2 linked regions of the Tribolium castaneum genome follow. The protein of the gene in region 1 interacts with the protein of each later gene in a pairwise test. Links are inferred from orthologs where the notes say so. Each region holds a gene or a part of one and is shown in the gene's direction. Other genes may lie near its edges.

Region 1 (4,971 bases):
TCCATTTACAGTAAACAGATAAAATAAATGGTAATCCGGGCCTGAAAAATTCTTACCAGCTGCCTCAACCTTCAAACCCAACAATGATCGCGTGCCAATTTTACAACAAATGTAATAAATTTTTGAAAACCACCACCCTGATGGAGACCTTTTGTGGAAGTGATTTACAATTTTACCAAAATTCATGGGAAAAAAGCTGCCCCAATTTTAAAACAGAAATTAAAAATCAACGACACATTTTCTCAAAAATTTAATTAGGCACTTCGATACACTACCTTAAAATACACCTATGGACCAAAGATCGTTAACATTAGACTATAGTTAACTAAGCGAAAGTGAAAAAACACACCATACAAGTAATCATTTTAAAAATCGGTCAAATCGTTCTTCTATACAATAAAATCACATACGATTTTTTTTGGAATTTTAGATAAATTACAATGAGGTGAAAAGTGCCTGAGTGTAAAACTTGACGAACCCGGTATAATATGGAGAGTATTTCTCTATATTAGAGAAGACTTTTTTACTAAAGTTGGACTTTTATTACTTTGTAGACGTTATTTATACTCTAGAACGCATTTCACCAAAATATTTTTGATTATACTAGACTGCTTTCAAAAAAATGTGACGTCGTAATAATATTTTTTAAGTGGCATGCTATTATTTTTTTGAGCCTATAAGGATGCTCATTTAGCTGTATTTTCATATTCCTAAAAAAACTTAAATCGAATCCAATAAAATCGGTTCCGTTCATTTAGTTTTAAAAATTAATAAAAAATACAAGCATTAGCTCTTTTAGTTTTAAAAATTAATAAAAAAATACAAAGTGATTTAGATTACTACAGGGTGTACACAATTTATTGTCAAACTTTAGAGTTCTTTATTTTTCTTATTTTAAATGGCAACCCCTATTAATTATATCTATCATTCGATGCGGAATTAAAGAACAAACATTTTTCTATAGCAAATCCTCTCACATTAATTATTAGGATTATTGGATAAAATCTCGTTTTGTCAACTGTTTTGTATAATTAATAATTTTAACAATCTTTTAAGTCATGATAAGGGGCAAGTGTAACCTTAAACGTCAACTTGAAATAAATACCTATGTACATATAATTCTAAAATTGTCCGGACTTCTTCAATTTTATGACTACATTTACTCAAATTTATGTTTTATTTATTAACTTTAGACATGTGAAACGTTTTGTTTGTTTAAAGACAATTTTATAATCTCTGAGAGGCTATAACAAAAAATAGGTTGTCCATTTTAATTTTTGCAAGCTCTCACTTTTACCAATCTTTTTAATTTTTTATTTTATTTTTAATTGAAATGAGCTATACCTACAATTATTAGTACAGCTTTAAATTTGAAGGTTTTTCTTAAAATGCTGAAAACTGCACATATTCTAGTTTTTGTGTAATACATATTTTTAAAAGGACTTTGTTTTCTTTAAAAATATATTTCGGAATTGACAATTAAACGTCTAGGGCGAAGTATTAATGAAGCTAGTTCCAAAAGTGCAAGAAATAATGCCGTGTTTCATTAAAAATAAACATCTGTATAGGTAACTCATTACTGAAATACTCTGTTTTCTAGAGAGTAATTTTAGGTGATGCAGGGGCTTAGATAATAATTGTGGTAATTATTGCGTCAAAAGTTTTTTTTAAAGCATTGTCACTGAGAATTAAAAGTGATCGTTTGTGCATAGAATTACCCTTTTTAATGGAATTTTAAATATGCAAAATGCCGACGTGCCGAAACATCCCGTGTGGTGCAAAACAGCGAATAAATCAATAGAGAGCACTTCCCGCGTTAATATTCCATGAATGAGAGTTATGCGAGAGGTGCGAGTGTTTTAATTAATTAATAAATCGTGACGATCGTGTAATTAAATCCCAGTTGAGACGTGTAAGTGAATTCGTGCGCTTCATCTGATGCAAAAAATAAAATTCCATTTGACATTTTCGCAGAATTATTGGATCAATTCGACTAAATGTCACACTCGCTCGAATTGTAATGAATTCTCTCCAAAGTTCACGTCCGTTTCCATTTTCTCTTGGCACTGATTGGATTCACATTTCAGGATTCAGATGACGAAATCTCCCATTTGGAATGGGAGACGGTCCGTGTCCGTTTCGTCAAAGCTGGCACTTTGAAAAAGCTCGTCGAAGCTCTTTCAACGGACGATGGTGAGCTTGAAACCACATATATTAATGTGTTTTTGGCCACCTATCGGAGCTTTTCTACGCCACGTGAAGTTCTCCGACTGTTGCTTCAGCGCTACGAGGAGCTTTTAGATGCGCCACCCAACGGGAAAATAGATCAGCATGAGCAGCACCGGAAGTAAGCAATTTTTTCTTCTTTTTGTTCTCGCAGTTTTTAATATTTTCACGAAATTCAAGCTACTAATTGTTATTAATAATAAAATAAAACAGATAAAAGTGGTTCTTAACTACTAGAGATTTGGATTAATTGGTTCAAAAGGTCTGTTATATTTGAATTGTTTTTATTTTGTTGAGTTAGAAACAGAAGTAGCAAAGAAGGTTTTTTATTATAAATTCTAAGAGAATTTTATTATAAATCGTTATAAATCACTGAATAGGATAATATTAGGTTTTAAACAAAAATTAATCTCTTAAAAAAGGTTTAATTTATGTTACATGTTACATAAATCTACCTTTTTTAACAATAATTATTGCTGTCTTTTTTCTGTCGATTATCTTTTGATTTGTTAAATAAAAATTTGTCTTATTTACAAGATTCTTAATTTTCGTAAATTTGCAAATTTTGAAAAAAAAGTTTAATTAATTCAACAATATTTTTTGAAATGAATACTTTGTCTTATTTTATTCAATCTGCTGTTTTTTAGTTGTTAATGTTTTGTTGGATGAATGCCATAAATCGCCAATTGTTCTGATAAAAATTCGTCTTCAATTGATGCAGAAAGTTGTAAAAGTGGGTTCTGAATATTCTACGCCTCAAAACTCAAAAAATTTTATAATGAAAAAAAAAAACGTAAAAAAACACCATACTTGTCTAGACGATAAAATTATATTTTTATCAAAATTAAATTTCTCATTAAAAAAGTTCAATTAATCGAACAAGATGCTTTGAAATGAGATGATTTGGCTTGTTTCATTCAATCTGCTTTTTTTAAATGGATTGTTTTGTTGGAGGAATGCTTTAAATCGCCAGATTTTCTAATAAAAAAAATTATTATTACAATCGATGCTGAAAGTTTGTTCTGATTTTAGTATTTGTTTTTTAAGAATGGTTCTTATTAAAAAAAAGGTTTAAATTACAGTAAAATTGATGCTTTTTCATCTAGATTTTTAATAATCGGCCTTACTGTGTTGAATAGATGTTAGATATTGCAAATTAGATCGTATGTTAGGTAGCCTTATTGAAGTAATTTTTTTACTGAGACAATAAATTTCAAAAACAAGTTTCAATTTTGTATTTCTCGCCAATTGTACTGTACAGTACTTTAGTTTAACTAAATTTATTTTTAAACTAGAATTTAACTCTTTAAGGAAATAATTGCCTAATTTTTGTATAGAAATAGAAAAGATTTGATATGAGTTGTTTTGGGTTGTTTTGTTCCAATTTATGATTTTCCTATAGTTGCTGTGTTGTTGGTGCCGGAGATTGCAAAATTGGCAGATTTTTCTTGTGAAACTACGTTCCAGAAAATCGCAAGCACAACAAAACCAATATCTAGCAAATTTTAATGAGCTTTTAAAGCTTTTTTTAGTGAAAAAAATTAAACAACTTTTAATTATTGGGGATTGGGGGCTTAAGAACCATTTGCAAGATAGTACGGACTGTTTATAACAGAGTGTAGGATTGTTGTAGGTATTAAAAGTTTGCCGCTTCTTTCAAGAAAAAATAAACAATGTTAGTATATGAAAAATTTGTTTTTATTTGTGGCCTAAGTAGATAAAAATTGGTATTTTTCAGAATTTCATAGAAATAAAATAATTAAATGCGATAAATTCAATTCTACACTTTTTTATAAACAGGCTGTATAATTTTTCATGTAGCGCAGATAGAAAATCAATAAACAATGGTATGAAAATATTATAAAAAGAAATTAGGAAATTCGTATTAAGAAAATAGTTTAGTTTATTCAACAATGTAACTTTAAAGTGGATTGTTTCGTTCAGTCTGTCTTGTGTGAAGAATTTTCTATATATTTTGTTAACTAATTGTCGGCAATGACAAGATTTTGTAATAAAAACTTCCATTTATTTAATCGATGTAAAATGTTACAAAAATTATTTATTTTTTTACCTTATCTTATTCAATTTAACTCATTTTTCAATAATACTCTTTTTTTACGTAAAAAAAATAGAACCTAATTAATGCTTCACATTTAGCTTTTTAAAGAATTAATCTTTTTTTAAAAAACTTGTCTTTTAAATTATTTCTGTCGATATAGAATAGAAAATCACAACTGTAAATATTTTGTATTTTTTTGGAAACACTTCATAATTGATTTCTTTATTAAAAAATTAATTGTTCAGTTTATGCAAATTACCTGTTTCAAAACTGTAGAAATGCCAACGTCTCATTTTCTCTAAAAGTTAGTTGTTGTAAATTGCTCATGCACTTCAAAAAATTTCTGTAGTTTTGAAACAGCTAATACATAAAATAAAAAAGGTGCAAAAATGTTTTCTGCAGGTAATTTTTCAGTTTATTTTGTTCAATTTAACTAATATTTTTCAATGAGAATCATTTTTATTTAAATTAAACAATTGCTGAATTAATTTTTGTCATTAAAAAAAACTACAAAAAACTTATATTGTATCGAAAATCATTCTTAAAAAAAATCGTTTAATTTAGGCGACATTATGCTTTGAAATAAGTTATTGTGGCTTGCTTCGTGTAATTTGACTACTTTAAAAATTATTCTTCATATTTTGTTTAATAAATGTTAGAAAACGCTGTCTCTGCTTTTTTTGTTC
Region 2 (5,495 bases), on another chromosome or scaffold:
CTAATTAAAAACCGTTTAAGCTATGAGATTAACCTTTCCTGTCTTCCCGCTACGTTGTATTAAAAAATATATTAAAATTTGAGACAACACCACACGCTGGATCCGTCTAAGTGATTTTTTCATATAGGGGTATAGGTGCCCGCCTAGAGTTGGGAGCTTTTAATCAAATTAAACTCGGGGCTATAGATAAACGTTCGATTCATTTGGAGATGCCGTCATTTTTATGTAAATTTCCACTTTTATTTCGCTCTCAATACACATTTTCATTTTATTTCACTGTTAAAAAAACAATGCAATAAAACATGATCAATTCCGAATCTACGTATTTCATAAAAGTCGGAATTCTTGTTTAATCATTGATCACGACGCTTTTTTGTTATGCTTTACACTACCTGCTTTATTCACTGGCGACATCGAGATTCCAATCCTTTTAATGAACACATATTTTACGATACGAGGAATTTCCTTCTTGCAATTTTTATTAAACATAACTGTATTCATTCTTACCTTGATTAAGCCAGAAATATTAAGCGATACTACGAAATTAATTAAAGCAGAAATGAGTTATTTATTTTATACAAAGAATTACTTTATTAAAGTCGTTTCGCTTGGCGTTTAAAAACACATAAATAAGGGTTGTTTCTTGACATTTCCTTTCACAAAAAATTTGTGAACGAGTGATCTGTTTGCGGGAGCTCACATCCAAGCAGGTTTGCAATATTTTTTACCGTAAAGCTTGTTTGGGCACTGACATTATTGTCAAATAGGTTTTTACATAATTTGTTTTTTATTTAAAATCAGACTAGTCTAAAAATTTTGTCTATAAAACTGAGGGATTTAAAAAAGACTGTCTTTACAAAAAAGGTAAGTAAACGTCTGATTGTTATTAAATACCACGTAATCATTTGAATTTATCATTAGAGTATGCTGTAATAGATTTTTAACATACTGATCGAGCTGAAGGGACAAATAATAAAATTTCGAATAGTAATATTCAGTTAGGATACATATTTTTCTCTTAATTTGCACCAGTTTATCAAATACAAAGAAAAAAACTGCCTACTTCCTCCTCTATAAATTTAAATGATCGCATGGTATTAATCATTTATTCTATACATCTCGAATTTATACCCTAAATATAATTTATGAGAAGCCGGTTTTTCGAGGTGTTACGTCTTTAATTTTTAATTGAACACGTTTTGTGCCTAAGCTATGCATTTTACGAAAAAACTAATTAGTACATTAGTAAATATTTTAAAAATACGATCATTTATGAAGATTTTTTTTTGCGAAATTTCAAAACTCTAAATTTTTTCTTCAATTGGTTTTGGAGGTACAAGGTTAACTTGTTTTTTTTTTTAATAATACGACTGGTAGATTAATATTTATTAATATTCATTGATTTGAGATTCATTTAATAAGATAATTTATGTAATTAGTATTTTGGGAATTGCTGTTTTTCTTGTGATGGTGGAAATATATCTCAGAGTTATTGTATAATTAAAAAGATATATTATTTTTTTTAATTACGTAACCAAACTTTTTTGGGAATTGGTGTTTCTGTTGTAATGGTGGATACATCCTTCAAAGGATTTTGATTTATAAAGGGTTTGTTCAAAAATAATAACAAGTTTTCGATTTTTGAGTTTATTTATTATATAATAAAAAAGATATGAATTCTGGAATTATGTAACAAAACTTTTGGGAAGTGCTGGTCTGTGGCTTTGGTGTTGGTGGTGGCCTCTCTGTTGCGAGTGTGGAACTCTCGTTGCGTTTTCCTGTCTTATCGACCGTTCTTGTCTCGGGTGCGGCATGGTGGCATGCGCTTGGTGAAACGAAGGGGTGAAGGGGGAGCAGGGAGCAGAGTAATTGCCATTGCCAGCAGCTCCAGCTATACGCTATATCTATAGCTAAAGCTAATACACCTACCATCAACTACCAACGGCATCGCCCGATCCTGAAATAACGGTGTTTAGCCCACGGTAAGTTTCCCATTTTCATGTAAATCACGCCCAACTCCTCCCAGAGCACCCTTGAGAGTATGAGCATATCCTTGAAAAGGCAATGCCGTAAAAAACTGAAATAGTTTCACCTAGTGAGTATTTGTTGAAGCGTTGAGCCATGACAGTGTAAATTGAAGTGGTTTCGGGCCGTTCTGACGTTAAAACCGAAAACGGAGTGCAGTGGACGAACCTGTGACCGGAAGCGGCACCGCGGTGGCCCCAGGAGCTGGACACCCAATGTATGTATCGTGAGTTGTGACAGGGGGCGCAAATCCCGCCTAATTAGCCCCGATTCGTAGAATTGTTTGCAAATCTGCATGGATTGATCACTAGGTGTCTGCTCCATGTGCGCTAGCATCCTGTTGGGTTGTGGTTAACCACCGAGATTAGGCCGCTTTCGTAGTTTCGCTTACTCACAACCGCCCGGAATTCGGCGATTTATCTTCACTCGATTTTCGTTACAGATAGACTGAAGTTTTTGTGCAACTGGGAAAATGCGTGAATACAAGATCGTCGTTTTGGGGTCCGGGGGTGTAGGGAAATCGGCACTCACCGTGCAATTTGTACAAGGAATCTTCGTCGAGAAATACGACCCTACTATTGAAGATAGCTATAGGAAACAAGTCGAAGTCGATGGGCAACAGTGCATGCTTGAAATTTTAGACACAGCAGGCACAGTATGTCCCACATTCCGCCTCTCATAAACACTGCATTTCGAAAAATTGTTTTAGGAGCAATTCACGGCGATGAGGGATTTATATATGAAAAACGGGCAAGGTTTTGTTTTGGTTTATTCAATTACAGCACAATCAACATTTAATGATCTACAAGACCTCCGGGAACAAATTCTCAGAGTCAAGGTACATTCAATTTAATTGCAATTAATTACACACACTTTAAAACCGATGACTAATTGCCTCTAAGGTCACTATTTAGTTCACGTCACACGTAAACACGCTCTTTTAGATGCTAAAATTTGCGACAAAAACCGAATTTATTGCATATGTATCAATCCATATCAATGTTACATTCATTATCAAAATAAAACCCAAGGTCAACATGAGATTGATCACTATTTATGTTACGTTTCTAATCTACATATTGGAAAAGTTGACCTGCTTTATTACTCATTTCCACCCTTCCACCTATTAACACGTCGTTGTTTTATATTTTTAACTCCTTCAGGTTCACTTCACACATGTAAGCAATACTTTTACCACTCATAACTCTTATTATTACGTTTTTTACATCTGCACATGTGTAGAGGTCATTGATCAGCACCTATTTTATTTTACATGACAAAATTTACATAAAAGCTTCGTTTAATGATAAACAGAATATAATCTACTGATAATGCAAATATACAGGCAACTTCCGGCTAATGCTTCCATATTTTGTGTACCACTTTTTCGCGTCAGTAATTATCTAATTTTTTTCGTAAACTGCGTAACTAACTGGCATTTTATTTAGTATTTAGTTGTTTTCATACAATGAAAATTATTAATTCTCGATTATTACCATGGGCCACTTTTTCTTCGTAACAGTGGGAGTTGTTATCGCTAAATTGATTGTTACATCTATTTTTCTGTTTTTATTTGATTATTTTTTACTTATTTATTACACTGTTCAACAAGTTTACATTTTTCTTCTCTTCATTAAAAGAAAGAGTGCATAGTTTGGTATTTTTGGCCAGCATACAATTCTATAAAAATATCTTGTTTGTTTTTTTAATAACTTAGTTTTTTGAACAAGAAATTTTTAATAAAGTTGTGCAATCGTGCATCACCAAAATTAGTTTGAATTGCGGTGCAAAATACAAAAAGTGTTATGTGAATGAGCTAGTTAGGGTCAGTTGTAGAGTTTTGTTTTTGTTTGTCAGGACACCGATGATGTTCCGATGGTGTTAGTGGGAAATAAGTGTGATCTGGAAGAGGAAAGAGTGGTAGGCAAAGAACAAGGAAACAACCTATCGCGCCAGTTCAACTGTGCCTTCATGGAAACCTCTGCCAAAGCTAAAATAAATGTTGTTGATGTGAGTATTGTGCTGCGTGTCGGATTGTGCAGTGTTTTAACGCTGTGTATTGTTTTAGATATTTTATGATCTAGTTCGACAAATCAACAAAAAATCACCTGAGAAAAAACAAAAGCAGAAAAAGAAACCGATTTGTGTGCTTCTATAAAAATGTAATGATTTGGAACCAAAAAGTACATTTAATGATTTCAAAGACAATTGTAAGACAAAGTGTGTAAGCGTGAAGGCAAGTGCGGACGTGGAGAGCTTCTTCCAGTGAAGGGTAGTTAAAGTCCTGTATATTCTTTTTATTAAATATTTAAGTATTTGTATTTGTAATTAATTATAAAATATATGTCAGTTAAATTTCTCCAAAATCAAGGTTGTTATTGACTCTAGATGCAATTCTATTTAGTGATAGAGTATTTTGAAATCTACTGCCAATTTTGTGGTGTCAAATAGGGATAGCGATGTGTGAATCAGTGAGCCAAGACTAGTGACGGGACAATACTTCTCTGACCACAGCGTTTTAGGGTGTTTTATATTCCTACATAGAATAAGCCTAGTTAACAGGTTGGGTTTCTCATTGCATCATGGACGAAGACTAATCATTGTGGTAGTTCCGGAGTAAGCACTCGAGCTCTCGCTAAACATCACTATGTTTTTGTGCGATTGCTAGCCGCATATACATACATACTTATATGACTACGATCACTTCGTTACGTACTAGTTTTATTTGTGTTAGGTGTCCTTGTAAATGGATGTAGATTAGCGCGACAGTATATTATTAATAGGACTGTGGTGCTTACTCCGTTAGCAGTGTGGTAGACTAAGGCTCTCTCTGTGAGGTGGCGGTGTCTCACCCATCTCGAGTGCCAATCTCATGTTCAACTTTACTTTTTTCCAGAGTCAAAACTTCTCCTATTTGTATTTTGATTATCATGTATTTGTAACTGATTGAAATTGGAAATTGTGATAACTTTCTCATTAGCTTTTGTGTACGTGGAGGTTAAATGCTCTTATTTCGCACCTGCCTTTTGCACAACAGCGGTAACAAAATCACTTAATGCAATGCAATACCGCTTGCCAATTCTTTGAAAGATTATTTTAAAATATAGTTAATATATACATATTATATATTTTGTAATTCACCGGATACTTTTTTAGATTCCAATCACAGATATATGTGTCAGTTGAAAATATCTTCCCATTAAGCAATTAAAAAGAAATTGTATAAATCAATCTTGTTGTTTTTTAATATAAATGTATGTTAATGTATTCTAATATTGACGCTAAATATAATTAAAATTCAATATTTAACGTCTTGTCTATAAGTGTTCCTTGTAATATAAGACGACTCTGACCAACATTATATAATATACCTTTTTACTATTCTACTTTTGTACATAAAATATATCATTAATGACAATATGCTTTTGATAAACAAATTTTCTTTTGAACACAATTTTCCAAATTCCCGA

What was found. The genes of interacting proteins can lie anywhere in the genome.
Region 2: the proteins of Rgl (region 1) and Rap1 interact in a two-hybrid assay, tested with the Drosophila melanogaster proteins (2 studies listed by BioGRID). The link is inferred for Tribolium castaneum from reciprocal best matches to the Drosophila melanogaster genes Rgl and Rap1.

What each region holds. Positions count from the first base shown.
Region 1 is NC_087398.1:14,569,505-14,574,475, reverse strand, and holds part of Rgl (ral guanine nucleotide dissociation stimulator-like 1), read left to right. Parts: intron 1-2,087; coding exon 2,088-2,347; intron 2,348-4,971.
Region 2 is NC_087403.1:4,584,183-4,589,677, forward strand, and holds Rap1 (ras-related protein Rap1), read left to right. Parts: upstream 1-1,789; 5' UTR 1,790-1,982; intron 1,983-2,096; exon of another isoform or gene 2,097-2,242; intron 2,243-2,467; exon of another isoform or gene 2,468-2,471; 5' UTR 2,472-2,497; coding exon 2,498-2,680; intron 2,681-2,734; coding exon 2,735-2,863; intron 2,864-3,882; coding exon 3,883-4,035; intron 4,036-4,093; coding exon 4,094-4,183; 3' UTR 4,184-5,334; downstream 5,335-5,495. UniProt on the Drosophila melanogaster protein: Ras proteins bind GDP/GTP and possess intrinsic GTPase activity. Plays a role in photoreceptor cell determination.